Tamandua tetradactyla: one gene and its partners. The protein of the gene in region 2 interacts with the protein of the main gene of each other region in a biochemical or structural test. Links are inferred from orthologs where the notes say so. Each region holds a gene or a part of one and is shown on either strand. Other genes may lie near its edges. The genes, in order: CPLX1, SNAP25 and STX3.

The links.
Region 1: the proteins of SNAP25 (region 2) and CPLX1 are reported together in a solved structure, tested with the Homo sapiens proteins (2 studies listed by BioGRID, with this or other methods). The link is inferred for Tamandua tetradactyla from reciprocal best matches to the Homo sapiens genes SNAP25 and CPLX1.
Region 3: the proteins of SNAP25 (region 2) and STX3 form a complex in vitro, tested with the Homo sapiens proteins (2 studies listed by BioGRID). The link is inferred for Tamandua tetradactyla from reciprocal best matches to the Homo sapiens genes SNAP25 and STX3.

The regions. Positions count from the first base shown.
Region 1 is NC_135345.1:414,782-424,853, reverse strand, and holds the start of CPLX1 (complexin-1), read left to right. Parts: upstream 1-5,948; 5' UTR 5,949-6,055; intron 6,056-7,629; 5' UTR 7,630-7,706; coding exon 7,707-7,737; intron 7,738-10,072. UniProt on the Homo sapiens protein: Positively regulates a late step in exocytosis of various cytoplasmic vesicles, such as synaptic vesicles and other secretory vesicles.
Region 2 is NC_135327.1:50,602,982-50,612,239, forward strand, and holds the start of SNAP25 (synaptosomal-associated protein 25), read right to left. Parts: upstream 3,669-9,258; 5' UTR 3,540-3,668; intron 1-3,539.
Region 3 is NC_135335.1:15,515,000-15,524,837, forward strand, and holds the start of STX3 (syntaxin-3), read left to right. Parts: upstream 1-5,927; 5' UTR 5,928-6,138; coding exon 6,139-6,168; intron 6,169-9,838. UniProt on the Homo sapiens protein: Potentially involved in docking of synaptic vesicles at presynaptic active zones. Apical receptor involved in membrane fusion of apical vesicles.

The DNA of each region.
Region 1 (10,072 bases), on a different chromosome or scaffold from region 2:
CGATGTCTTGGAGCAGCTATAAGAAAAGATGAAAAACTGTGGAACTGTAGCCCATACCAAACTTTGAAATCTGTTGTATAACTACTTGTTAAAATGTACTTGTTAATGTATTGCTTTTTTGCATATATGCTATTTTTCACAATTAAAAAGAAAAACCAGTCATCGGCCATCAGACCACACAGCCTGCGTCAAGAGGGCCAAGTCCTTTGAGTTCACCCAGCTCCAGCAGCTGCCCCAGGCCTGCGGCAGCCCCCATCACTGCCTGCCAGGGGGCTGGAGTCTGAGGGCTGGGGCTGGAGTCTGGGGGCTGGGGCTGGAGTCTGGGGGCTGGGGCTGGGGCCTGGGGGCTGGGGCTGAGGCTGGGGCGGGGGCTGGGGCTAGAGTCTGGGGGCTGGGGCTGGAGTCTGGGGGCTGGGGCTGGAGTCTGGGGGCTGGGGCTGGGGCCTGGGGGCTGGGGCTGAGGCTGGGGTGGGGGCTGGAGTCTGGGGGCTGGGGCTGGGGGCTGGGGCTGGAGTCTGGGGGCTGGGGCTGGAGTCTGGGGGCTGGGGCTGGGGCCTGGGGGCTGGGGCTGGGGGCTGGGGCTGGAGTCTGGGGGCTGGGGCTAGAGTCTGGGGGCTGGGGCTGGAGTCTGGGGGCTGGGGCTGGGGCTGGGGTGGGGGCTGAGGCTGGGGTGGGGGCTGGGGCTGGAGTCTGGGGGCTGGGGCTGGGGGCTGGGGCTGGGGCGGGGACTGGGGCTGGGGCCTGGGGGCTGGGGCTGAGGCTGGGGCGGGGGCTGGGGCTGGAGTCTGGGGGCTGGGGCTGGGGGCTGGGGGCTGGGGCTGGAGTCTGGGGGCTGGGGGCTGGGGCTAGAGTCTGGGGGCTGGGACGGGTGCTGGGGCTAGGGCGGGGGCTGGGGCTACTACAGGGAGGGCAAAACTCACTATTTGCCACGACTTAAAGCCAGGTCAGCGTTCTCCAGAGTAACAGAACCAACAGGAGATATCTGTAAATATTATGAGATTTTATAAGTGCCCTACGCAACCGTGGGGATGCACAAATCCAAATTCCTTAGGGCAGGCTGCAAGCTGGCAGCTCTGAAGACAGTTTTGATGAATTCCCAGGAGAGGCTGCTGGCTGAGGTAGAGGTGCAAATTCTCTCTTCTGACTTAAGTCCTCTGCTCTCCTCCACATGCCCTCTACTGGTTGGGCGAAGTGGGTCTCATTGCTGAGGGCACCCACCTTAGCCAACTGCAGATGTCATTGGCCATGGAGCACCCAATTTACCGATGGTTTAAGTCCACGAAATGCCCTCAGAACGGGACAGCTGGGTGCCATGACCCGGCCGCGCTGACCCGTGGACCTGCCCTCACAGCAGCCTCTTCCTCCAGCGCTTCCCTGGGGGGCCTCGGGTGCTCCTGCCAGGTCGACAGTGGTTTCAGCTGAGGGACTGATACCTGGAGCTTCGTATTCTGCCGTCTTCCTGCAGTCCTACTTCCTTTTCTTTGGATATACTTATTTGCTTGTAAGATGGCAGGATTTAATTTTTTTTTTTTTGTATGCTGTATGGCGGGGCCACATTTCATTCTTTTTCCATAAGTATCCGATTATTGGCACACCATTTGTTGAATTTTTGTTTGGTTGATTTTTTGTTTGTTTTGCTTATTTGTGTTTTGGGAAGTGCCTGGGCCGGGGATCGATCGTGTCAGGAGGCGGCAGAAGAGGCTGAGTGCACAGCTGCTGCGAAGCCGCTCCTTGGCGGGTCCCCTCCCCATGCTTGCACCCCAATGGGGGTGGGCTCCGCTTCCTGGGGGGCACAGTCCTGCACTGCACCGAACTGCTGCTGGCCCCGTGCACGCTTCACTCAGCCATCTGCCCCGTCCCCCTGCACCCCTCATCCTTGGCCATCCAAGAACATGCTGCGGGGACCTAATCCCGCCACTGTGACCCTTCACCCCGACCCAGTCCGCAGTCACTCTGGCCACCACGCCGAGAGCAGACGGAGGTCCGGACCCGAGGATCCTGGGGGCCCCAGCCTGGCTGGGCTATGGCCCCTTTCCCGATACCCCACGGCTTCCCAACGGTGCCCCACGTGTCCTGAGGACAAACCAGCACCTCCTCCCACTCTCTCTATCCGGGACCCCTGCCCCTCTGCCAGGGACCCCTCCCCATAACATCCATCTCCCCAGTCTGCAGCTGTGCTTCTTGGGCCGGGGGGAATCTCAGTGGTCCATGGCTTCTGCGCTTGCGTGTGGGAGAGCCGTCCCCGCCCCCCCAGCCAGCACCCCTGGTGCACTGTCCCTGCCAGGAGCCGCCAGGCCCGGCTGCAGGACACCAGGGGCCACTCTGGACCTCACAGCTGGAGGGCCCTGGCCTCGGGGCAGGAGACCAGGAGCTGAGCCCTGGCGACCTAAGGAGCCCTGGGGACGCGTCGGGGGCATGGGGGACAGCAGGCAGCTGCTTCCCACCCCAGGTATCCAGGTCCTCGGGCCGCTCAGCGAGTCCTGAGACACGCCGCCAGGCCTGGCATGAGGGCATGTGCATTGCCTGGACACGTCACGCTGTGCATGCGCTCACCTTCTGGGGATGAGGGCCCTGTGGTGGGCGCGGCCACCGGCAGACGTGTTTGCTCCAGCGTGGAAGGGGCAGTCCTGCCTGGCTTCCTCTAGGGGAAAGTTTCCCCAGCGTGAGACCAGGCCAGAGAGGGTGCAGCTGGGGGGGGTGGGGCAGCTAGGAGTCAGGGGCGGCCCTGACCGCTGGCCCCCAGGCACGGACGCTGCCCAGATGCCAGAGATGCCCCCAGGAGTCCCTCAGGCCTGCAGCTGAAGCACGGCCTGCATAGGGCTGGCTCGGTACCCCCAAGTCCTGATGCCTCCGGGACAGCCTCCCACTACCCACCCGCCCTCCCTCCATCCTGCTCCGGCCGCCTCCACCCGTCCAGGGGCGTGCAGGCTGTCCCAGTGTGTCCCCATGCCTGCCCCAGCCCCCAGATCCCTGTAGCTCCCTCCCCAGGACCCCCGCCCCCTCCTCACCGGGTGGAGGCACAGAACCCCGCCCTCAGTCCCTGCAACCCCTGCTGTTTTTGCCTCCGGAGCGCAGGGGGAGCCTCACGGCTGTCCCCCACCTCGAGCAGCTCTGAAGGGCCGCACCCCAACTGCAGGCTCTGAGGTTAGAAAAGGCTGGGGGTGGAGGGCACCTGAGGGTACTGTGGGGTCAGGGCAAGTGGGCCCGGGGGACGTGGGGCCACAGTGGGCTGGGGGGTCCTCAGAGAGTCGGGGTGACAAGTGGGACCCCCGACCCTGGACCTGGAGGGGTGCAGGCAGGAGCAGGGCCTGGGCACCATGTCCATGGGGCGTCCCGTGGGGGAGGAGGAGGGGCAGGCGGTCACTGGTTTGCAGGGTCTGGGGTTGCTATGAGGTGGGCCACCTCCAGGAGCACCCCTTTGGGGAGATGAGGGGCCCCAGAGCCCAGGCATGGGCTCAGGGGCACAGGGGAGGCCGGGGCTGGTTCCCTCAGATCCACGGTGCGGGGCGGCAGAGCCTGGCAGGGACCCACCGGGGCCACGGGGCCAGTGGGCCGCACTCTGCTGCTGCCCGAGGTGTGGTCCTTGGCGGGTGGGGATTTGGGCCTTGCCATGCGCTGAGTCACCCCAAAAAGCAACAGTCTCAGCATCTACTGAGAAGTTCGGGGGCGTCTGCGTGCACCCTGGTCCCTGACAGGGCACGAGGACCCGGTTCTGCCCACCCTCCAGCTCTCCTGGCTCTGGGGACAGACCCCGTGGCCTGAGAGAGTGTGCTGGCAGCCTCTACTTGGTGGGGAGCAGAGGGGGGATGCCTGCAGCTGGAAGCCAGGCTTGGTCAGGGCCAGCGATGCAGCATGGGGTCACGGCCACCTGGCCCCTTGGGCGTGTGGACGCGGCAGGGCCTGGGGCCTCTGGGAGCAGGCAGGGGTCCCAGAGGAGCTGCCCTGCAGCCCTGCCCCACTCACCACAGGGACGCACTCCCAGGCATGACGGGTCCAGGTCTGTCCCCTCGCCCATGGGCACCGTCCACCCCCAGCAGGAGGGCAGATCCATCCCCACGGATGAGAGGTGCTGAGCAGCAGTCCCCTCCTGCCGTGGGGGTGCCCCTGTGTGGGCTGTAGTGGGGACTTGGGGGGTGGGGCTTCAAAGCTGGCCCCCTGAGCCCCTGGAGCAGCTGTGCCCAAGGTGATGCCGAGTGAGGGTCTCCCAGCCGTGCCTGGCAGACCCCAACCCCCATCGTGGCCTTGCTGACCCCCAGTTGTCTCCCTCCCAGCCCCAGCACCCCCACAGGAGCCCAGCCGCTCTGCACCCTCCACTCTCCTGAGGCTGCCCCCTGCCCTGCTCTCTTCCGGACACTCCCCACTCCCCTGCCCACACCTCAGACTGCTGCCTCCTTGGCTGCCCCAGGCCTGGCTCTCACCTTGTCTGGCTCCCCGGGGAGCGTCAGTGCCCTGGCTGAGGCCCAGCGCTCTCAGGGCCTGGAATGCTGTCAGTGCTGGAGAAGCCCTGGGGGTGGACGGCTGTGGAGAGGATGATGACAGAGAGACAGACACAGAGGTTGACAGGGAGCAGGGCAGGGGGCCTGGGGTCCGACCCTGGTGACGGGTGCCATTGGCGGGAGGAGGGGGCAGCACTCAGTCCAGCCCAGCCTGTGGGTTTCAGGGAGACCCCAGAGCCCTGTCCCTGGGGCCCACCCAGCCCAGGGGCAGCTGAGGCTGTGGGGCGTTGACCTTGAAACATTCACGATTTCCCAGAGTAGGGCCATCCTTTCTCTGCAGACGGTCCCCTGCCTGCCATAGCTGACCCCAGGCTTGGGGATGTCCGGGTGGGAGTGGAGGTAGGTGTGGGGTGGGTTCTGCTGCCCAGGACCCCTGGGGCACCCTGATGGATGGGGCTGAGGGGAGGGGCATCTAGGAGAGTGAGGGGTGTTCTTCCCAGGCAGGGCGAGGGGCTGCAGCTGCAGGGTCCATGACTCAGCCGGAAAGGGCCACTGACCGCTTTGAGCCGTGGCCGCTGGAGGCCACCCCCAGAGGCTCCCGGCCGCGCGGAAGCTGGAGCAGTGCGCGGGGCGGGCACGTCTGGCTGCACAGGAGGCGGGAGAGGCCGCCCCCCTCCCCGCAGTGCAGAGGCAATCCTGGGACTTCGCGAAGGGGGCGGCCGCCGCGGAGGTGCGGGTCAGCAGTGCGGCCCCCTCTGCGGAGCGGACCCCGGCCTGGCCCGGAAGGGGCTCGGGTCCCGCACTGAGCGCCCGGGTCCGCAGTGACCTTCACACGTCCCCGCCCGCGTTGGGGCCGCCAGCCCTGCGCATCCCGGCCCCGGCCGCTGCTCCGCCCCCCACACCCCCGGCGCGCGCGGGAGCTGTGGGGTCTCCCGCGGGCTTTCTCGGGGGTCTCTCGGCCTCTGTCCCGCTAAAATGAAACTCGCGTGCTTTCTGCGACCCTGTTCCACTGAGAAACAGACCGGGGCAACTCCGCAGCGCCTCTCCCCGCAAGAGGGTGCGGGCGGGTTGGCGAGTCTGGGCTTCCCTCCCCCAGGCCGCAGTGCGAGGAGGGCCGGGGTCGCGGCGGAGCCGGGGACAGGGGACACCACGGTCACCGCCCGCGCCGGGAAAAGCCGTCCCGGCGGGCCGGGGTCGAGGAAACTGGGGGGGTGGGCGCGCGCAGTGGCCCCCAGGGCCCTCCCGTTCTGGCCGGACACGCAAGGACTCTGGCACCACGCGCGCTCTCGAAGTAGCTCGCACGCGGGGAGGGCCGGGGTGGGGGCCGATCCGTGAGGAGGGTCTTGACTGGGGGCGGGGGGGCGGGTCCGAAAGCTCCGCCCCGGATCGCGCGACGGCTGCCGGCCGAGGGGAGGGACCGCGGCTCCCCCGCTCCCGCCCCGCCCCGCCGGAGCCCCTCCCCTCCTCGTCATGCTCGGCCGCGGGCGGGGGGCGGGGAGCGCCTCGGAGTGACGCGCCCTCCTCGCGGTGCCCTTCAACCGCAGCCGCAATTCCCGCGGCGCCACATGGACCCCGCCGGGCTGAGCGCGCTCCGCCGCTGACCGCCGGGCCCCGGGCAGGTAACCGCGTTCACCGTCCTGCCCGCACCCGTCCTCGGCTTCCCCCCCCCACCGACCTCTTCTCCACCCCGGCCCCGGCCGCGCTCCTGCCCCGGCTCCCCGCACCCGGCCCCGGCCGCGCTCCAGGCCCGGCTCCCCGCACCCGGGCTCCCCCACCCCGGCTCCCCGCACCCCGTCTCCCCCACCCGGGCTCCCCCACCCCGGCTCCCCGCACCCCGGCTTCCCGCACCTCGGAGGCTCGGACTCGGGCGCTGTCCGCCGCGGCGGTGCTGAAGCGGCCCGCCGGGTCCGAGCCCGCCCGCGCCCTCCTTCGGGTCTTTGTTGCTCCTTCTCTTCAGCTTCTTCTCTGCGATCCCCTCCCCTCTCTTGCTCTCTCTTTCTCTTTCTCTTTCCAGCCGCGCTCCCGCCTGAGGGTCGCTGGGCAGACCCCGGCAACTAACCCGCAGGGCCAAGAGATGCGGTGAAAGGAGCCCCGTCCCCGCGTGGGGCGGGAGTTGGGTCACTAGGGGTGTCTCGGGTTCCTGCGGGGAGGTCTGCAGCACCCCGGGGCTCTCCGCGGCTGGGCTCTGCGGCTCCCTCCTTCCCTCCCTGGGAGCCGGGGGAGAAGTTTGGGAGAGAACCTGCTTTGCGGCAAAGGCGCCCCTGGGCGTTGCGCCTTGCGGAGCCCCACTCGCTGGCCGGGCCTCGCTCCCGAAGCCCGCGCAGACGGGTCTCCGTCTGCAGAGGGAAAAGCAACAAAACAGTGGATCTCCAGGGGTCCGAAATTTCCTGCCCTGAGAGACCCCACAAGGCAGGGGGTGGGGGTGGGGGAGGCTGCAGCTGCTGAGATTTTACAGGAAGTGTAACCCCGCTGGAGTTCCAGCTGGCCTTGGCTCCAGGAGGGCACCCTGGCGCGCCCCACCCCATGCAGAGGTGGGGTTGGTCCTCCCCCTCCCGGTAGGGTGGGCCCCTGCGGCCCCTCCTCCTCTCCACACCAGTCCTGGCCACTGCGGTTGGAGTGGGCTCTGGAGTCTCTCCCGGGTTAGAGCCCTGTAGAAGCCACAGGGGCCCCCTAAGGAGCATCCCCCCTCAGCCCACCCACCCTAACCCTTCCACCCTCCCATGGTCGTACCCCAGCCCCCTTGGCCCCTCACCCGCCCAGACTACCGCAGTGGCGGGATACTGAGTCACCTTCACATGCCCCGGGGCTCCACCCTGGTTCTGCAGCTGGCACAGGTCCGAGCCACCCCCCCCCAAGCTGTGAGTGCTGCTCCTTCCCCTCAGCCGCCGCCCAGAGCTGACCCCAGAAGCCCCTGTGGCTGGAAGACCCCTTTGCAGGGCCAGCGGGGGACCTGGGACTGCCTGCCTTGGTCAGTGTGTAGGGACAGACCCACAGGAACTCTCGAGAGACTCACAGGGGCTCCCTCCAGTGCAGGGGACCCCCCCTACTTGGGGTGGGGAGCAAACAGTGTTCTCTCTGATCCCCAGACCCCCACTCAGGAGAAGCCTTTGCAGATAAGAGGAGGCACTGTGCATCCCACACAGAGACCCCTAAGCTTGGTGGGGTCACCTGTGACCACTGTGCTCTCCCACAGGCTCAAAGGTCCTCCGTCCACACTCGCATGTGAATTCTGACCCTTGGAGGAGCCGCTGAGGACTCAAAGCCATCGTCATGGAGTTCGTGATGAAGCAGGCCCTGGGAGGTAGGGAGTGGGGGCAGCAGGGGGCCAGGGGACCCCTTACACCCACGCTGCCCTCTGGACAGAGCCAAAGGGAGGGGCCCCAAGGCTGGCGCTGGCACCCGGTGCCTTCTGAGTGTCCTTTGCCACCATGGGGTGTGTGTGGGAGGACCAGGAGGCGGGGCAGGGGCACGCAGCAGGCAGCCCGTCCTGCTTGAGCAGCAACAACCTACTCGGTGTGCCAAGGGCTCCTCGGAGTGCGCTTGGGGCACCAGGGCCCAACCCTAACTGGTGGGCAGGGGCTCCACTCCTCCTGAACCATGCCATGGGTGGGAGGTGCTGCTGGCTGCTCGGCAAAGGTGGGGGCCCGAGCCCAGAGGCCACGGGAGAGGCCAGGGTGACCCCGGCCCCTGCTGAGGAGTTGTGCAGCTTCTTTCGGATGTTTGGGGGTAGGGGGCAGGTCCGAACATGCTGCCTCCTTTTCTGGAGGGGCTCCTGTCCCTGCTTGGTGCCAGGCTGTCATCATGGCCGGAGACCCTGTCTCAATACTGGAAGTACTGGGGGCATGGAGATGAGCAGGAACGCGGGTTGAGGGGCTGGCACAGATGTGCCCTGGCAGAGCAGTGCAGTCAGCCCAGGCCCCCCAGTGGCTTGAGGCTGTCCTGAGTGGGTGGAAGGTCCGTGCAGAACAACCCATTCTGCATTCTGCCCACCCCGCTGCTGCAGCCCGAGGTGCCCGGCCAGTGCTCGATGCTATGTTAAAGGTGCCTTCCTCGGTACAGCTCCCTCCTGAAACTGGTGTCATTCATGCTCTAGTGAGAATTAGGTGACATGGGCTCAAGGCCTCTCGTGGTGCTGCCTTCAGTGGGAGGGGTCTGGGATTCTTCGTCAGAGAAAGGGACCCGGCTGGGGCTGTCGTGCCAGAGCTGAGGGGAAGGGACAGGCTAGGTTGGCAGGAGCCACTGTTACCCCCGCCTCCCCCCTCCATCCTCCTATCACCCGGGGAAGGAGCTACCACCATGGATTTGTCTTGTGGAGAACGGCTCCATTTCCGCTCTCCCCAAATTGAATCACGAGATTCGAGGGCCCAGGGCCTTTCCAGAGGTCCCTGGTCAAGGGCAGACAGGGCCGGTCTAATTATAATGATTACGTCAGCGGGATGGCTGCAGGCCGGGTGGCACCCTGGCGCGGGGGTGGGGGGGGGTGGGGGGGACGAGTTCCACCTAGTGGTTCCCAGGCTGTTACAGATAATTAATTAGGTGGCTAATTCAGACCCTGAGGTGGGTTTTTAAGAAAACTGAAATATCTGATTTGGCTGTCTACATGGCTGAAATTAGCTGGGTAATTGCCAGTCTGGCTTCCCTCATTGTGCCGTGTCAGCCCAAAGTTTTTCCTGCAGCAGCGTCGGGGCGGCTGTGCTGAGCGCTGGGGGCCCCGCGTGGGGGCGGCCACCTGCCCCCTAGTGCGCAGCGGGAGGGGGGCCGCAAGCGTCAGAGCCCCGAGACCGAGGCTCTGGGAGAAGCAGTTCCAGAGCCCCACATGGGGGCGAGGGACCAGGCATCCGTCCAGAGGAGTCACGGGAAGCGGGGACACGGCTTCCAGGGCTCCAGGGCGTTGCAGAGGGAGGAGGGTGTGAGAGAGCTGGGGGTGCAAACGGTGTGGTAGAGACCGAGTGACAAAGAGAAAGTAGAGAAGGAAGTGACAGACAGCCAGAGACGGAGAAAGAGAGAATGAGAGGGAAAGAACGGACTGGGGGAAGAGTCGGGGCCAGCCCCGTGCACATCCCCAAAGGGAGGGAGGGGTCAGGGAGCACAGCGGGAGCCCCCCAGCCCTCTGCAGACAGCCCTGAGGTCAGGCCCGGGTGTGGCCAAGGGGGCAACCTCTGGGCACCTTTCTCTCCTGTCCCCGATGCTCTCGGCAAGGCCTCGGGACTGCCTGGTCGGGATCCCGAACTAGACAGACAGACACAGGCTCCCAAGGGCATGGTTTTTTCCGCAGGGACAGTAGAAGCTGAAGATTTGGCTTTGTGCATTCTGGGGACACGCCACGGAAGCCTAGCATGTCAGGAGCCCTAGAACAGGAGAGGACATTGGGGCTGGACCTCCGGCTCCGCCTCAGGGAGCAGAGCACTCAGCTCACTGCCTTACACACACCAGTGCACATGAGGGTGCTAGTGCACACTCACCGTGCTGATGCATGCTCAGTGTTGGTGCACACTCACCATGCTGAAGCACGCTCACCATGCTGATGCACACTCAGTGTTGGTGCACGCTCACCGTGCTGAAGCATGCTCAGTGCCGTGCATGCTCACCGTGCTGATGCACACTCAGGGTGCCGGTGCACACTCCATGTGTGGGGC
Region 2 (9,258 bases):
ATTCAAAACCTTCCATAGCAGGCTCTGACTCCAGTTCTAGTATATTCTCCCATACAAGATCTCTGCACCAACCAAATGGATGAGCATTTTCAGGGTTTGCTGACCACACCTTGGTCTTGCCAAACTTGAGATTCTGCTTATACTGCCACTTTTACTTAGCAGAACTTCCCCACCTCTCTCCAACCTCCACAAGCCAGTTCAAGTTCTTTTATTACATTCACTTGGCAATTAATTATGTATGTCATCATGATTTTCTTCTATTGTTATATTGGGTTTTTATTCATTTTTCAATTTTGTTATTTTTTTATTAAAATTACTAGATGTTAAACTTCTTGAGGCCAAAGACCATATAACCAGGAATGTTTATATCCCCAATGGGGTTCATTTATATGTCTGGTGCTCACTGATTAATCAATATCTTCCTATCAGATTGGTCCCTAGTGACAAGGGATGACATTGCAGAAACATATCCAATGCAGAGGATGAAACACTCAATTTTCTTACCTTTATAAAATTGTAAAGCAATTTCTTTAATGTGAGAAAACTAGTTTGTTCATATGCATTGTCTAGAAATCAGAGTTATCTATTTTTCAGCTCCATGTCTCCTTTCTCAATCTCTCAAATTACTTCTCTCTCTTCTGCTAATCCTTCACAACCTATACGTTTTGCTAAAGGCCAGATGCTACACAGAGAGGTGTCACCGACAGAAACATAGATCTTTCAGTTGATAAACACCACTCTGGGGTTAACATTTGGGGCTTAGGAATGTTTTTAGACAAGCTAATTAAGGGACAGCTTGTACTGGATGTGTGCATGGGTGATTGTGCGTGTTTAACAAAGTAAAAATAAAATTGTGAATTCCTGAGAGGTATCAGCATGGGGACGTTAGGTAGACTGGATATTATTTTGTAGTCTGAATCCTGTGGTGGATAATGCAGAAAATGCCAATAGAAGCAAATAAGCAGGTACCATCAGAGGGTATAGATGAATGTTCCTATCTGTTCCTGCCTCTTTTCACTGTTTTGCCCCCCAGACTTTTAAAATTTAAAATAGGAACTCCCTTGATTTTTTTTAAGTTTATCAACAATATAAATTTGAGTTCATGCTTCAGTTATGATTTTCTTTAATTTCTAAGGAAGCTATCCTAGAATTAACTCCATAATTGTGCACATCTCCTCTTCCCCCCAGCACTGTGCTTTTTGCCAGCTTCACTGCAGTCCTCCTCCACCTCCCTCTTCACCCCCATCTTCCACTTGCAAACAAACCCAGCAGTAATTACTAATATCTAAGCACGTAATTCCAGCAGCATTAGGCTTTTTATTTGATGTAACTACGCAGAAAGCTGTCTGGACATACAGCATGAAGTCAAAGCATTTTTTAATACTCCTGCCCATCTTTTCTCCCCTCTTCTCATCACTAAAAAACTGTTGTTTATTTCTTCTGCAGATTGCAGAGTTATGAACTTCTTTTACGCAGTAACACACTCAAATAAATTTCCACCCAAATAACTTTACATCCATGCATACAGGTCAACATATGCATATATGAAATATATAGTTATCCATATAAAGGAAAATCACTAGGAAATAAATAGCTGGGAGCAAAAATACCTTTTCCATGTAGATGGACATTTTAGCACCTCTAGTATACACGTGATTGGAATTATTACTGGCTAAAAACATTCCAAGATCTTAATTTGGGGCGTTTTAGAGGACCATAATGGCATTTTTTTAACGCGTCGCATATATTTTTACATATGAAACTGTTACTCTAATTTACTCAAAAAGCACAATTTTACTTGTCATTTTATGCAATCTTTATATATATCAAACAGAGAAAAAAATATTATTATGATGATTTTTGCTGGTTTAGAGGCTCCGAGCCTCAGAGTAGAAAATGGTTCAAGTACCTATCGTCGCCTTGGCAAAATCCCGCAGTGCTGCAATAGAAATTGCAGTAGAATTTTAGGCCAGAGTCCAGTTTTAGTCTAACATGGTTCTTTCACCTGCATTACCCTGAAGGGCACAATTGGATTCAACTGAGGAAGCCCAATCTTAATGTTGTCAAATCAGAAGCTTTCAGCCTGAGATAACCAATGTCCTTAGAAAATATTTACTTCCAATAACTCTAAAACCTTAACTAAAGGAGTTAAATCTATACACTCTACGACCTGTAAATATTTCTCAGAAACATAGTTTTGTGGCTGTGTGTTTGTGCTCATACATAATTACAAGAGTAGGGGGAGAAAGAGGAAGAGGGATTCATTCTTAAAGTTAATTATGCTTAGTTCAGCTATCCCCAATTTTTTGCTAAATAGAAATATATATGGAGAGATCACTCCTATAAATAGATAATGTTGACATCTTCATTTTTATCCCACTCATGCCCACCCAAGATCTGTAGGCAGTGCATTACGTGCTCTGTGTTAACATAAAAACAAACCAAATCTTGACATCCGGTAGAAAGGTAAACGCAGATTTAAGAAATGTGTTTATTTCCTACCTAAAATAAAGGGCAACAGAAGGTTTCCACAAAGTAGACTGTTATTTTTTTTAAAGCTAAGCAGGAGATCTGGAGAAAGCAGGCATTGCCTGCAAAGGAGTCCCTGCGGGCATGATTTATTTATTATTATTATTTTTTTTTTTACCTACTACGTCTGCTCTTAAATACTTCATTAGGGGTCTCTGTGAGACCAGGTTTCACAGCGGCAATCTGTCCTGCAGCCCTGGCACAGAACATCCTATCCAGGCCCCTCTGCCTCTGAAGCCGGGTCGTTGTCCGCGGTGCTGAAAGGTCACGGGCGCCGGCGCGGGCCTTTGTATCGCTGTCCAGGGTGCTGAGTGAGGGCCGTCGCAGTCCCCGAGGCCATCCCATCCCCGCCAGCTCTCCGCAGAGCCCTCCCACCCGGCACAAACCGCCCGCCTCCCGCCAGGCTGCAGTTGACGTGGGGCAGGAGGCATGAATCAAGTCTGTGGGGGCAAGGAGGCTGCTGTCGCTGCCTCAGCTCAGCTTGCCCCGGACGGGAACTCTCCCCCTTCCCCTCCTTTCGCCTCCCCAACGCCCACAACCTGCCTTTCCCTCAATTCTGCACTGGATAATAGCACGCTAAAGGCAAGTCATAATAACAGGGTTAGAAGAACAGATTTTTTTTTCTTTTCTTTTTGTCTACAGAAGCAACAACAACAACAACACAACATCAGCCTAAACACCTCTGAAAACTGCGTCGCAAAATGGAAGAGAGAAAGGGTCCCACCACAGTTTTAAAAGAGTAAGTTATTATTTGGATCGTATCCTTACGTTTCCCTCCCATCGCTCCATCCGCAGTAGCCCCATTCATCCCTTCCACAAGCAGCCCACCTCAAAAACACTTTATAAAGCCCCAGGCGGGAGTCCAGCCAGGCGCGCACACACGGAACACCGCGCCCCAGGCGCACAAATACTTGTACTGCCCAAGGCCACTAGGTCTGCCCAGCTGCGGTCCTCTTTGGGAATGCAACCTCTCAGAGTCAGCACCGGGGCCCGGGGAGGGGGCTTCTTACCTGGGCTTCCCGGGAGGGTAGTGTTCGCCGGATCCCAGCAGGTTGCGAGTGTGCAGGAGCCGCCGAGCAGGGAGGGAAGGCGAGACAGAGCCTGACCTCCCCGAGGTTTCGTCTTCAATGCAACGTGAGCTCTGCCCTCATCAAAGATGGCCGTCCCTCTTGACGTCAGCAGCTTTTAATAGCCGTCGCCTCCAGGGGCGGGAGGAAGTCTGCGGCGGGGAGGGCGGAGGGAGGGCGGAGGCTGCGGGTGGGACGCGAGCAGCCGGTAGGCGCCGAGCGCTTGACTCAGCTCCCGGTGAGCGTTACTGAAACCTTTGTATTTTAGTCCCGTACAAACTCTGAAACGGGGCTATCCTTATGGCTGCATTTTAATACACCGTCTCGGGAAAACACATTAATCTGACGACTGTTTTTCTAGTGTCATACACGTGTGTTTGTATATGTGTGCTAACATATGCATGTTGTGTGTACATGTTGCATCCTGTATGTATATTATGTCTATATATCCATGTGTGTGTGTGTGGGGGGCGGGGTGCATACTTTATTCTCCCCGCTGAGTTGAGTCATGGAAGGAGGAGGGGAAGACCGAGGAGGCGGAGAGGGAGGTGGTGGCGGCGGGGAGGGACGCTGGGGGAGCTCGATTTCAGCAGCGATTAGTTTTCCCCAAAGAAGAGGGTCCGAAGGGGCATCCCTGTCAACCCTCGCCAGCTCCATATATGGCCAGGCTACGTGGGTTACTATTTTTATGAGTGATTTGTTCATTTTATCAAAGCAGCACCCAGGGCTTGGAGTTCGTATTAATGTGGTCAGCTGGGAAGACAGACTCGCGCACGTTATTTGAACGGACGTCAGAGCAATTATCTCCCAGAGATATCAAAGGAGCTGGGGGAGAGGGGAGCGAAGGGTCGTTAACCCAACCAGCGTGGGTTTGCAAGGGCTCGAGGCTCCGAGTAGCGTTGTTTACCGAGGGCAAAACAGATGACGCTGCTTTCGCTTGAATTTGCAATCGGGTCCTGAGGTTGTGCGTTGGGTGTCTTCAGAACAGCCCTCGGAGGCACGTATAGGACCGTCCAGACTTCCGGGGGAAGGTGGAGGACTGCAGGATCCAGGGTGGGTTGGACGCGATGAAGTTCTAGTGATTCTCTCGATGCGCGAACCCTGGGTCAGAGTAGAGGCTGATTTGGGGGACTTATGATGTTCGCAACAGGACGTGGGCAAGAAACGATAGTTTTCCTGGTCATCTGAGAGATTAAAATAATAAGCATAAAGCAATAATACTTCCTCCCTTGTGCACTAGGCGACCAGGGAGAGCTGGGGTGGGGGTGGGGCGACAGGGGGTGGGTATGCAAATGGCTCCGCGGTGGCAGCCTCTCCGATGATTCACAGGTGTTGGGGAGGTTGTTGTGGGGCTCTCCGCGGGGAGGGCGAGCTGGGGAGCGCGTGGGAGGTGGGGGACTTCGGCTGAGGAACTGTTTGTACTTTTCCAGGAAGGATGCGATTAGAAGTCGTGCCTTGCAATGTTAAAACTTGATGGCCTCTTTTAGACGATGGAAAATCCTTGTCTGCTTTAGAAGAAGCCATTCAGAGCTAGGTCCCGAAAAATGACACACAATAAAACGTCCCCCACCCCAGCATACACCTACACCTACACACACACACATTCCAAGCATAAACAATTATAAGCCTTTTAATTGCACGTGTTGGAGAGAGAGACACACAAGGAGAGAGAGAGACATGCAGACCCTGCGAGAGGAGTAAAAAGAGGCGTAAAGGGACTGGTCAGAGGAAGCAAAGCTGTAAGAATTTTGAAAGAAAGCCGTTAATTTAAATGAGTAGATGTCATTGTTTCCTAAAGATTCTCTGACCAAAAAGGTATTTCAAAATATTAATCTTTGCAATAATAATTAACCAATGCTGTTTGGATTTTTATTAAAGTTGGAGTCCTAAAACAAGGCACGTTACTGAAATTTGTTTACTTAAATATTTATTAAACATTTAAGATTCTTATACAATAAAGAAGAGGAAAATCAAAATCCGTATAGTCCTTAGATAGTTAATTGCCAATAAAACTCTCCTACTTATGATTCTTAATTTCGTGGTACAGCAAGTAGGAATGGGATGGGAGAAGTGGTGACAAATGCAATGGCACTGCAAAATCTTTTATAGTTAGGATTTTTTCCAAAATGTGACACCCACAAAAAAGGCAGCATGTAGACGTTGGGGGTGGGGTAGGCAGGAGGCAGATCTGCAGTGGGGAGAAACAGAATATGTGTAGGGCTCTCAGATCAGAAGTCATTCAGGCAGCAAGTTTTGTGAAGGAATGGGGCAGGGGTGGGGGTGGGGGACAGGGTATTTTCCGGATTAAAAAAAAAAAGTAAAAAAGTAACTATGTCAGTGAGGGGAGCTTATCCTGCAGGCAGAAGCTATATGGAAGGCAACTGGGGAAGGACTGGCCATGTGTTCTGAGTTTTCAACTGCTGCTGCCCCAAGCTGACGTCTTAAAAAATTACAGATAAGATGAGAGCCAGACAGATTCAGAGCATCACAGAAAGGCACAGGCCCTACAGGATTATTTTGCAGTGGTGACAGCATTTTCCATTCCCCTCTGCTGGTGTTGAAAAGGATGCCATTTGAGAGGTTCTTCCTCTCGCTCTGGAAAAGACAGCAGAGAAACATAAATACTGGACATTTAGGTCCATTTGGAGCTAAAAATTCTACTAAGGATGAATGGATAGCCTAAAATGCATTTTGAATATGATAATGAGGTTTTCCCTTTAGGGTTTTCTCGTTGCTTGATTAAAAAAAAAACAAAGAAAAAGGAAAAAGAAAAAAAAAACATTTACAGTCATTTTTGACAGTAGGACAACCAGCAGATTCATTTTGCTCAGAGTCTATAAAAGCCTGAATAACAGAGAAGGAAGGTGATAGAAAATTTGTTCCAAAATGATTCAGCTGCCTGTGAGTTATTTCTATAACTCAAATGTAAAGTAGCTAATGCTTAGGAACTCATTCCATGAGGAAAGAGAAAATTACCTGCTCTGTAGGATGGATATTTACACTATGCTAATTCAGTCTCTGAAGGTGTTTTCTGGTACACCAGGCCCCGAGGTGTTCTGGTTTGTAATGGCTTCCGATCCAGAGTATTTAGCTTGTATTCTCTTTACTGAGGTGCAAAATTTATAGTTGACTCAAAAGTTACAACCTGGGAAGGATAATACAATATAAGATTTTATGAAATACCATATAAACCCAAAGTCAACTTGGGAGTAGTTTAGAACTAACCCAACTCAAAACCAATCCCCCCAAATTCCTCCTTGGGGTACACCTGGCACTCTGAAAAATGTATCAGATCACCCTGAGGGCATGAGACGAGGGCTTGAGAATACACAGCTTGACAGATCAACTGTTTTGATTCCTTGGTTTGCTTTTCACGTGATGTGTTTGTCACTTTCTCTTTACATATTCTTGTAGCTGTTACCCCAGTTCCTGCCCCACTCACAGCTCATGACCTAATAGTAACTTGGGAAAGCTAAAATGCCCCAGGTCTAAACTCTCCAGGCTGTGGCTGTTTCCTGGAGCCTCTGAGATAGGGACGTGTCTTGTGAGAGGTAGAAGGAGAGCCAGGGATATTGCTTTCTGTTTCTGGCTTGCCATGTTGAGGTACAATAAGTCCGCATGCTTAGAATTTTAAATACCATTTTGTCCTTTACTAAGAACAGTGTTGTGGAAAGGAGGGGAGTGGTCTCCAGTCAGAGGCCTGTTCCATAACACATCCCTCCCCCTAATTCTGAGACGCGGTCACGTGGGGAGACGTGTAACAATCACAGGCAGAAGGGAATGGGGAAATGGTAGTCAAAATTAGCAAACTTCAAAAAGGCTATTTGAAAGGGATTACAGTACTCTTTCAGCAAACCTTTTAAGCATCTTAATAATTTCCATAACTTCACTATACCTCTGTTTTATTATAGGCAAAATCAGGATAATAATTATACCCAACTTACAGGGAAAGTGCTTAGCACTTAAAATTATGTCTGGCACTTGTTGAGTACTATGAAATATTGGTTAAATAAAGTAAATCTATCAATTTGATAAGGTTTTAAATTTCTCTAATTGTTGCTATACTATGGAGGGACTGAGTTCATTAGTTGCTAACTAGATGCATATCATTTAATCCCTCTGGGTTTTCCTTTCTTCTGTATTAATTCATTCATTTGCTCAATACTGAAATACTTACCATGTGCTTGGATCTGGAATATATTGTGGTCCAAGTAAAACAGAGGAGGGAATTGAGGTTTAGAGAGGTCAAATAACTGACCAAGATCACAGCTAATCATGTTACAAGTAAGATGTGAACCCCAGGCTCATAATCACCGTGCTTTATCACAGGCTCTTCTGGCCGCATCAGACTTTAGTCCATCCCTCTAGAGCAAACCTCTCTGCCTCATCATACTGTGGTTCATGCATATCTTTTTCAATAGCAGCTTCAGGGTCCCCTTTGCTAATGGGATGAGTCCATGCAGCACTGACCACTGGTTTGGTTGAGATGAGTTCCAAGGATATGTTTAGGCAGGTAGGGTGGTATCTGCAGCAAACAAACAATGTATTCAAAGGCAGACAGTGCAGAAGGACAGTAAAGGGGTGAATTCAAAGGTCAGTGTCTAAGAAGCAGCTTAAATAAGAATTGGGTCAGAAGATGGACTCAAAATATACTTGAGAGGGTCAACCAGAAGTCATAAGAGAACACCAAAATGGACGACTAGCTATGAGAGGATGATATAAGATCTTAAACAGGGGTTGATTTCATGAGCCAAGAAATCTAGAGTGAGGCTCAAGTTGAGCTGGGATGAGGTAAATGATACAGGATATGGTGGGAATGGAGGAAGGATACCTCGGACTATTTGATTGGTACTGGCAGGGAGGGGCAGGACAGTTCTGTCAGTTAACAGGCACCAGGCTGGGCAAGATACAGGCCAGTACCTCAGTGATTAGCATCAATGATCTCTCAGTCATATTCATTGGAGTTTTCATCTTAACTTCTGGGTTCATTTGACACTGTGTACCACTCCTTCCATACTTTTTCTACTTCTTAAAGTTTTCTTTATCAGATGACTTCACCTCTGTTTCTTCCTTCCTTGTTGGCTCCTCATTTTCCATAGCAGATGGGTTGAAGCAGCAAAATTGTGGCCCCAGCAGGTTAAGCTGGACATTTCCCTGAGCCCCACACAACCCCCCTGGGAGTGCCATATGTCCACGGAACATGTCCTGATTCTCCACCACAAAAGTTGCTGCACTCTAAGTCAAAAAGAAGAAAATTGAACAGCTCATATTTGTAAAGGTTAGCACAAGTTACAAAGCACTATCACATATATGATCTCATTTTATTCCCACAACAACTCTCTGAGGTATATATAATAGTAATTATTATTTTTATTCCAAATTAATTCATGCAGTTCTTATATATCCAATTGACTGTGGGGTTAGAATAGGTTTCCATTCTAAATCTCGTGTCAGACACCACAAATTCTGATTGGTCTTCCAAACTCCTATGTTGACTATAAGGGGACCAAATTATCTTAAAATCAAGTTACCTTAAAAAAAAAGGATCCATGCTCATGAGTTTAACCATCATTTATATATTAATCACCAAATTCATATTCATATTAATTTCAGATTCATATTTTTAGCTTTTTATGAGACATTCTCATCTGGATGCTTCAAA
Region 3 (9,838 bases), on a different chromosome or scaffold from region 2:
CTTATAAAATGGCCCTAGTTATAATGGGTTCACACCCATAGGAATGTATTAGGTGTAAGAATATGTTTTTCAGGGGGTACATACAGCTTCAAACAAACACACAAGGCTCTTTCCACCAGTGCTTTTTCCTTTAGAGTTCCAGGGCTTCAGGAGTTTGTGGAAAAATCAAAACAAATTTATGGTGTAAGTTATTTATAGTTAGATAACAAGCATTCCTATATAATATATGGAGATTGTTAGGAAAATATCTGGACAATATGTTATATCTTTATAAGTAAGTGTATTATTTAAAATACTCAACTCAGCAATGCAAAGTTCATCATTTAAATCACGTGGAGTTACAAATTGCGTTTTGTCTTAAAAGCCAAGATCCAGGAAGGCTCTTCTTTCCCTTTTAGGGAGAGGAGAGGAAGACTCCCCGTATGTGTATATGTATGCATGTATGTGTGTGTTTGTAGTCAATTCTTTTTTGATTTATTCTCCAAATATTTGCAACGCAAGTACATCATGGCAGCCCTGGATATTCGAGGGTAAATAATACCTGGTCATTGCTCTCAAGCAGTTCATCAGCCAGGGAGACCAATGGAAAAGAGCAACGTACGAGACAACATAGAGTGTGCTTGAATAAGAGATCTGGACAGGTACCAAGGGGCAGAGGCTGAGAAGGCTAGCTGGGTGAACTGGGGAGGTCTTCATCTTGAAGGAGGAGTGGAAATTTGCCAGACGTGAAACGTTAGGGCAGAGGTAGATAGGAAATCATGAAAGGGCACTCTAGGTTCAGGGAAGAGGTGAGACTTGTTGAGGCTGATGGTGAGGCTCTGTTGTGACAGGGAGTGACACAGGAGTGAGGTTGGGAAGGGAGAAGGTGGACAGATTGGGGAAAGCCTTGGGCATCATTCTAAGAAGACTATGGTCTCCCTACTCATAATGAGAAGGCATTGATGGGTTATAATCAGAAGAAAAATGTAAATGGAGCTATTCTAGTTTGCTAGCTGCCAGAACGCAATATACCAGAAATGGAACAGCTTTTAAAAGGGGGAATTTATTAAGTTGAGAGTTTACAGTTCTAACACCATGAAAATGTCCCAATTAAAGCAAGTCTATAATGATGTCCAAATTAAGGCATCAAAATAAGTTACCTTTATTCAAGAAAGGCTGATGAAGTTCAGGGTTTCTCTCTCAACTGTAAAGGCACATGGCAAACATGGCGACATCTGCTAGCTTTCTCTCCAGGCTTCTTGTTTCATGAAGCTCTCCCGGGGGTATTTTCTTTCTTCCTCTCCAAAGGCCTCTAGTTGCATGGACTCTGTGTCTTGTGGCTCTCCTGGTTCTTATGGTTCTGAAACTTTCCCCAAAATGTTTCCTCTTTAAAGGATTCTAGCAAACTAATTAAGACCCACCTGCTTGGAGTCACAGCTCCCTCTAAGCAAAGGTTAATACCCACAATTAGGTGCATCTCATCTCCTTGGAGATAATCTAATAAAAAGATCCCAAACTGCATTATTGAATAGGGATTAAAAGAAATGGTTGCTTCCACAAGATAAATTAGAATTAAAACATGGCTTTTCTAGGGTACATAATCCTTTCAAATGGGCATAGGAACCACAGTACCAGAGGATTCCTTTAATAAAATGTGATAACCATTTACTGAATGTCCCTGTGGTCAGGTCTGGGTCCATATCAGTGGACAAAGTGGACAACGCTGATGCCCTCACAGAGCTCACAGATAGTGGGACAGGCAAACAAGTGGCCAGGTAGGGGCTATGATGGAGAAGTTCAGATTCTCCTAGGGGCATGTTTGAGGGACATTTAACTAAATCCTGGAAGATGAGGTGCTTCCCAAAGGAAGCATCTCTTCTGAGGCCTGGAGAATTGGTAGAAGTTGTCCATGTCAGATATAGGGAAGAAAAGAGCTCTAAGTAGGTAGAATTGAATAACACTGTCATAGTGAGGGATTTTAACTGTGTGCCAGGCACCACTGAGTTGGTTCCCAGTCTTCATGACCTATGTTATCCCCTCCTTTAGAGTGTCCACTGGACCTAGTGATACTTCTAAGGAATATAATATGAAAAAAGTGATGAGGCATCACGTCTGAGATTAAATTACAAGAAGACTTTGTCCTCCATCTGTCTCTCTCTCTCTCTCTTTCACCTACTTGCTCTGATGGAAGCCAGCTGCTATATTGTGAGCTTCCCTGTGGAGAGGCCCACATAGCAAGGAACCAAGAGAAGTCTCCTGCCAATAGCCAGTTGAGTGAGCTGAGAAGCAGATGCTTTCCCAGTTGAGCCTTCAGATAAAACAGCAGCCCCAGCCAACACCTTAATTGTAGGTTTGTGAAAGACCCTGAGGCAGAGGCTCCCAGCTAAGTGCCATCTGGATTCCCGAGTCACAGAAACTGTGATATAATAAAAGTTGGTTGTTTGGAGTTGCTAAGTTATAGGGCAATTTGTTATGCAGCAATAGATAACTAATACAAACTATACAGTGGAAAAAACCACAAATCAGTAAATTATTCTTCATCCTTATAGTTCTCCATTCTCCCTGCAATGGGGGAAGAGTTGCTGTAAAGAGAGAGAAAAGATCTTCTCCTTCAATTCTGCCACTCCTTTTATCTATGGCTACTGAATGCCACACCCTAGAGACAGGGTCTCAAGGCAGACCAGTCAGAAAGTGGTATCACCTGTTCTACAGCAAGCTGAGGAGCCTTACAGCAAAATGGGGTAAGGTTCAGCTCTCCTCTCCAGTGGGAAAGAAAGAGCCTAAGAGTCAGGAGAGAGAGAGAGAGGAAAGTGGACCCCATAAAACCAAGGATTCTCTCTTTGGTTTGTATATCAAGGCAAACTTAAGTGTTGGCTGATTTATTTATAACAAAAATGCAAATCCTTGAATTGTTTAATGGGGAAACCTTTATGCTAGGACCTAGCAGGTGGGAAACCAAGTACCATCGGGGGAATAAAAATGAAAATACATCAGAAAGAAGGGGCTCAAACTCCTACTGAACCTGGAGCCTTCAATTACTGTCTGCCTACCTGGAGACCCTATGGTCCACTGGGGTTTCATATCAGAGTTTTCCTCACCATCCCATGGACCCAGCCCTCCCCTAGGTACCTTGTCCAGAGAGTTATGTGGATTTCTTCAGTTTCTTGTACACAACTGGCAGGTGAAATCCATAATTCTGTCTATGAGGGATGAGCAAATATTAATATAAAATTAATGAAATATAGTTTGTGCTTAATTGAAGTTTTAAAAGGAGTCTTGAAGTCTGTAATAATGACCTTCAAATAGAAGAACAAAATAAGGGAATTCTGCTTGTGAGTCCCTTCCTGGGTTTCTGAATTCCAATCGCAGTTAAGAAGGGTCTCTATGCTCTTTCAGTGTTAAATAATTTCAAGGGAAATCATACAATCATTTCTGTTAAGGCTGCATAAGCTCACCAATAAGTCATAGAAACATCCTCTCATAGGAAACCATATTCCAATAAGTCATAGAAACATCCTCTCATAGGAAACCATATTCCTTATTACCGAATACAAATATTTTGTTAGGGACACAGACTCTTTCAAAACAAGAGATCCAGGCATGAAAATAAAGAATATACAATGTTCTTGATTCTGATAAGTTAGGGAACTGCTAATTTTGGTCAGGTCCTTTATTTGACAGATAAGGAAATGGATGGTGTGATGTCAAGGGACAGGTATTTTGTGGCAGAGCTGATTTCAAAACTCATGGATTTGTGTTCACCAATTGTTCTACTGCCCCACAGTCCCTCACCTTTCATGCAAAGGCCATCTTGTGGAGGAAAGGTTAAGTTTCTTAAATTTCTGGACAAAGGAAAGGAGTATGAAATAATGGCAGAAGTTATAGAGAGGAAAATCCTGTTCTGGGTAACAAAGCACTTATTTTTTATTTATTTATTTTTTCACATGGGCAGGCTCCGGGAATCGAACTCTGGTCTCTGGCATGGCAGGTGAAAACTCTACCTGGTGATCCATTGTGGCACTGTCCAATAAAGTGCTTTTCAACAACAGTTGAAGCTGTTCAGTCATGGAAGGTACTATTTTGGGACTGTGTGAAAAAATTAAAAGAGAAAAAAATGGTTGCTAGGTGTTTTATGTCATGCCAGGTAAGTCTTGTCTAATGCACCTTTCTGGGTTATCTGATTTTATAATGATCTGTGCCTTTCATGTTGGTTTGTTTTTAGCTATTTTAAAACTCTGTTAGTTGTAGAAAACTGACAGTAATGCAAATAATTTTCGTTCATAGACATGCAAAAGAACTTTGTCTGCTGGAGGTGATATTGGTTTCCCCCCAGTCCCAGAAGCCAGTTTTGCTTTTATTAACACTCATTTCGGCATTCTTGATTGCCTACATTTGTTTTACTTTTTGGATGCTCCTCTTAACAAGTCTTTAACACCTCACTGGTTCTCTCATTAATTAATGAATTAAATAAAATCCTTGATGTGTATTCATTTCATATTTGTATGAGAGTTATGAGTTTACTCTTTCAAAACCAATTTTTTTGTTTATCTTTAACAGATAGCCTTGACGTTCATCCCTAGATGTGTCAAGCAGAAGCTGAAAGGCCACCCTTGATTTCAGTATCATATATTAACAAAAATTTAAGAGAAGGTGGAATACGCTTTCCGGTTTACTCACCTTTTCCTTTTATGACCACCAGGGGGCGGTAAACCTTCCACTTAAAATCTCCGGGAGAGCCACTAGCAAACACAAGGAAAGGCACAGGATGAACCAGGGAGGAGTGCTGAGACCCCCAGGGTCATTTCAGACAATCCGATCTGCCCTGCAGGCTGTGTCTTTGGTCTTTGTGGAAGGAGATGAAGTCATTCTGAGCACGCACTAAAATTGCAGAAGAGGGAAAACTCCTGTTAGAATTTCGATAATATATAAAACCTTTAAACCTGAATGCATAGAGCAGATCCTTTTCCAGACTTACGACTTAAATATTCTGTCCGTCAGCCCCATTTATTGAACTCCGGCGCTGTGCAGGGTATGTCATTTGTTTCCAAGACGACAAATAAGGAAGGAGGAAGTGGGTAGGAGAAGAAAAAGAGGGAGGGGCAGTGCGAAGAACCTCCCACCTTTTCAGAAGGAACAATCTATCTGAACAAATCTACATCACATAGAAAATGAGAATGGCTTCAGCTTTCCAATAACAAACATCTCCTCTAAGCTTTGCCAACCACATTCACTTTTTCTCACACAGGCTTCGCAGCAACTACGAAGTGGAAACGAATTTATAGATATGGAAACGAATCCCCTAGAGAAACAGAGGCTGTCCCAAAGTTATACGCTTGCTAGTGGTAGGTTCTCACTTCAACATTGAGCTGCTGAAATTTTCCCTGAAGGGTCCCGATCATCAACAGCATAAAATCCAAATTCCTTGCCCCAGCCGGACTCATCCCCCCTCATTTCCAGCTAACTCCTCTCGGAACACATTCTTTCAGCTCCAGCCGCCCCTCGGGACTGCTCACATTCCGGCTTCCGTGCCTTCGCAATCGCTGTTCCCTTTACTTGGAATGCCCTTCCCCACGGAATCGGTTGCTGCCTCTTGGACAGCCTCAACACAATTTCCTGTCACCTATCGTAGCACAAGAGGGACCAGAGTTCGTTGTCTACAGCTATAAGTCTTTCGAGGGCCCAAGTAGTCGCTTAATGGCTATCACAGAGAAAGGGACAGGCTCAGTCACTCTTCCTCGGCCCTGAGGCAGGATCCCCAGTGCCCGGTCCCTCGCAGGGCCGAGTTAGGGCAGGAGGACAGAGACAGTCCCGGCAGCGGCGGCGGGGCGCGGGCCCTTTAAGGAGGAGCGCGGGGCGTGGCCCAGGTAAGGGGCGGAGCGGGTGGGCGGGTCCGGGCCGCGCGCCGGAGCCCGCCGGGGAGCCGGATTTGGAGCTCCAGGCGCCGGCGGGGGCCGAGGGCGGCGCGGCGGAGCCACCGGAGGCCTCGGACGCTCCTCCTAGCCGGCGGCAGCAGCTACCCGCCTCCGCCTCCGGCTCTCTCGGCCCGGCCCGGCCGCCACTTCCGGCCGCTCACCAGGGACGCGCTTACCTGGGACGCGCTCACCTGGGACGCGCTCACCTGGGACGCGCTCACCTGTCGCCGGGCTCCGGGGCACCAGGATGAAGGACCGGCTGGAGCAGCTCAAGGCCGTGAGTCCCGCTGCACCCGGAATCACGCGGGCTGGGGGCTGCTTGGGGTGGGGGTTGCCCGGGGTGTGCGGGGGAAGGGAGGCTTCCCTTTGCTCCCCAAATCGAGGGTGGAGTGGGGGGGCCGGTGCAAGTCCTGTCCTTGCCAAGCCCCGGCCGCCTCCCGCGCCCGTTCCGCACCCCTCCCTTTCTCTTGCTCCCTCCCCTCCCGTCCCGGGTCATGTGCCGGGTGATTCAACTCTAGGCAGCGATTTTCCTGAAAACCTCTGGCCCCCTCACCCTCCAAGGAGGACTCTTGTCAGCCTCGAGCTGGGACCTGCTGCGGGGTGCTGGGCCTGGCGGGGATCCCGCTGAGGTCAGGGGTTCCCCTCTCCACCTGCGCGCTGCTGACTGCACCCACCTGGGGCCGGCCTCCTTCTACCTTCCTTCTTGTTTCCCTCCCGCCGGGCGCGAGCCCGGTACCCTTTCCCCTAGGGAGCGGGAAGCTGTGCGGAACTCGTGGGTGACCTCCTTCATTCTCCGGCCATCTTTAATTACCAATTTAACCTGCCTCCCTTGGGGCAGCTGTGGTCAGACCAAAGGATTTTAAAGTAGACCATCTCCAGCCCAGTTGCAAGAAAGATGTAAAACCTTAGGCTGCTTACCCCCTTTTTGTGCCTCTGTTTCCTTGCTTGTCTAATGGGGTTATCATACCCTAGAGTTTTGTTATGAGAATGAAGCTATGTGATGAGACTCCATATAGAGAAGTGATAATGCATGGGTTTGTGAATTACATATTCCCTGACTCATTCAGTAAATAATTATCGAGTGCCTTGACAGGCTCTCCCGCAATGGAACTCAAACTCCATCTACTTGGGAGTTTCTTAGAAATGCAGAAGCTCAAGCCCAACCTATACCTTCAGAACCAGAATCCACATAATTCACTAATCTCCTTGGGTGACGCATGAGCACATTCAAGTTTGGGAAACACTGGACTGGATATTGGAGAGAACTGGGGTTTCATCCTAGCTCTATTGCTGACTTGCTCTCCCTTAACCTCTGAGTCTGAAGTTTCCTCATCTGTAAAATGGGTATTTGTGAAACCACCTACAGCGAGCGCCCTTTGTACAGTGCACATAGGACTTAATAAGTGGTAAATATTACGCTAATAACTAAAAGCTCTTTGAAAAATTATAGATCTCATACAAGTGCTGGGAACCATTGGGTTGCTCTACAATTGTGTCATTCTTCCCCTTTGTCTTGGATAAGACCTTCATGACCGTTTCTCCTTCCCTGGGTGGTGAGGCTGTAGAGAAGGTGAGGGAGCTGGGGAAGTGAGAGAAGCAAAAGGACAGTTGCTTCTCATGGGAGTGAGCCTCCCTGCCTCAACACTTGCTCTTTGTCCTCTGAGCCTTACAACATCCTGGGTACGTAGACAGGGCAGAATTTATTGTTCCTGTTTATAGATGAGCAGATGGGAGCTTGGCCTGGGTAGGTCATGCCTTAGCCTACAGAGCTGGTCAGGACACAACCAGGAGAGGAACTCCATCTCCTAACTCTCCCCACAGAGTTCTTTCTTCTGAAGCTTGCTGGCTGGGGAGACAGGATGCAGAGAAGAGCATTGGTTTTGAAGATCTTCCCGTATCAGCATGCCCAGCAATAAAAAAAAAACAAAAACAAACAAACAAAAAACAGTACGAAACTGAACAGCAGGCGGAGGTGGCTCCTTTCCTTTAGTGAGGAAATCCTTTTCCAGAGGAAGATACTTTACAATGCCTTTCAATAGCCCATTGTCCACAAATAGCAAAGAGTCTTAACTGAGCTTTGAGTTCCAAGTATAAATTCAATTTGCTGGGGAACCCAAACAAATCCCCTTCCCTCTCTGCACCTTAATCTTACCCTCTATAAAAACAGAGCTAATGGCCTGTTTCCTCACTTTACCTCGGGGATGTTGTGAAAGTGAGATTGTAAGTGGGTGCTGCTGTCATGGGATGGTTGTTCTGAAATCATGGTGGCTTCTCTAGTGTTTTGGAGCAGGAAGAGGCGTGGCAGTGGAGTGAAAGAAGATGGGGTTGCAGGTTTAAGGGGTTCTAACTGTGGCTCCCCCACTTAATAGCTGTGGTCTTTTGTATCACTTTACCTCCCTGTTTCTTGAGTCCTCCCTTGTAAAGTAAGGAATTTGTTGATCTCAGAAGCCTAGCAATATTCGTGTTTCCTATGAAGAATATTGTTCGGGTTTGTGTCGATTTGGGTGTCTAGGCCCCCTCTTCTCACCTCCTCCTCCTGCCCGCCCTCCCCCTCATTTTCCCCAATAGGAGAGAAATTACCCTCACTGCAATAAGATATGCCATCTTTCTTATCTGATTTCTGTTATCAACGAAAAGCATTTGTTAACCCCCATGAAATAAATTGCACATTGAGCAGCCTTTGCAATCTGTTTCTGCAGAGATCTTTCTAAACCCTCAGTGAAGGGAGGTACTAACTGCTTTCAGATAACTGGAGAGCTGCCATGTGCTGTCATGAGATTAACTTTGCTTTGTGTAGATACAAGGAGAAGATGTGGGGTTGATGGTTTAAAAACAGAACTCAGTGTCAAAAAGCACTTTTGAGTAGTTGGAGCTGCTTCCCGTAGGGCCAGTTTGCTGAAGAGGTAGTGAGTCCCTCAGCATGGGAGAAAGACAAGGAACTTATTGGGTTGTTAGATTTTGAAGGAATTTGAGCATCTCTTTAGTGGAGGGGTGGACTAGGAGATTTAAGACTTCCCTCAACTCTTAAAATCTGAGGTTCTATAAAGTGCATCATTGTTTGTGACTCTGTCCTAAGCACTGTAAAAACACAAGTTTCTGGAATCCAGTAGGATTTAGGGCTTGGAGGTACAGCTGTAAAATATGGACTATCATACCTTACTCTTAGGGCCATTCTAGGGGTCGTAGTGGAAAATTCATGACAATTGCTTACCACTACAGGGAGGTTCAGTAAATGTGACTTTGAACTTGGCCCCTTGGCAGTCATGTCCATGCTGAGGATATAGTCACAAGACCTACTTAACTTATCTTGTGCTCTGTCCTCCTGGAAAACTTCTTCAGCAGTCTTCTTCAGTGATGTAGGACAGACTTACCAGGAATGTGTATTGCTTGCACCAGCCTATGTCGGGAGGAGATTCTTGTTAATTCTCCTCACTGGCTGAACTTTGGATCCACTGAGTCCAGACAATTCCTGATCCAGCGTCCTTTTGCCTGGCTCTTTTTTTTAGTCAGCAAGGATTTACTGAATACCTATAGTGCCCTAAGCTTTGCGATAGGTGCTGGGATGTAGTGGTAAACTACTCAAGGAGTTCATGGTCAGTCATGGTCAGTAGAGAGACCCACAGGTATGCTGTGGTCCTTATGATGGAGACAACCATGGAAAGATCCAGTCTGCTGGCTTTGAGGAGATGAGGACAGGGCATTGAGGAGGCACCTGCCAGAAGTGATGCTTCAGTTCGGTCCTTCTTCAAGTCCCTGTTAAGATTCAAGTCTAATCTCTTCAGGTGCATGTATTCTTTCCTAAGACAAAAGGCAGAGATCCTGGAATTTCTCACCCACCTTCTGATCAATGAATGTGTCAGTCTACGTTACCTAAGAACATATAGAATGTGTAGGGGGCCTCACCAGAGATGCGTGAGTATGGCATCTACCACCCTGCTAGTCATTGT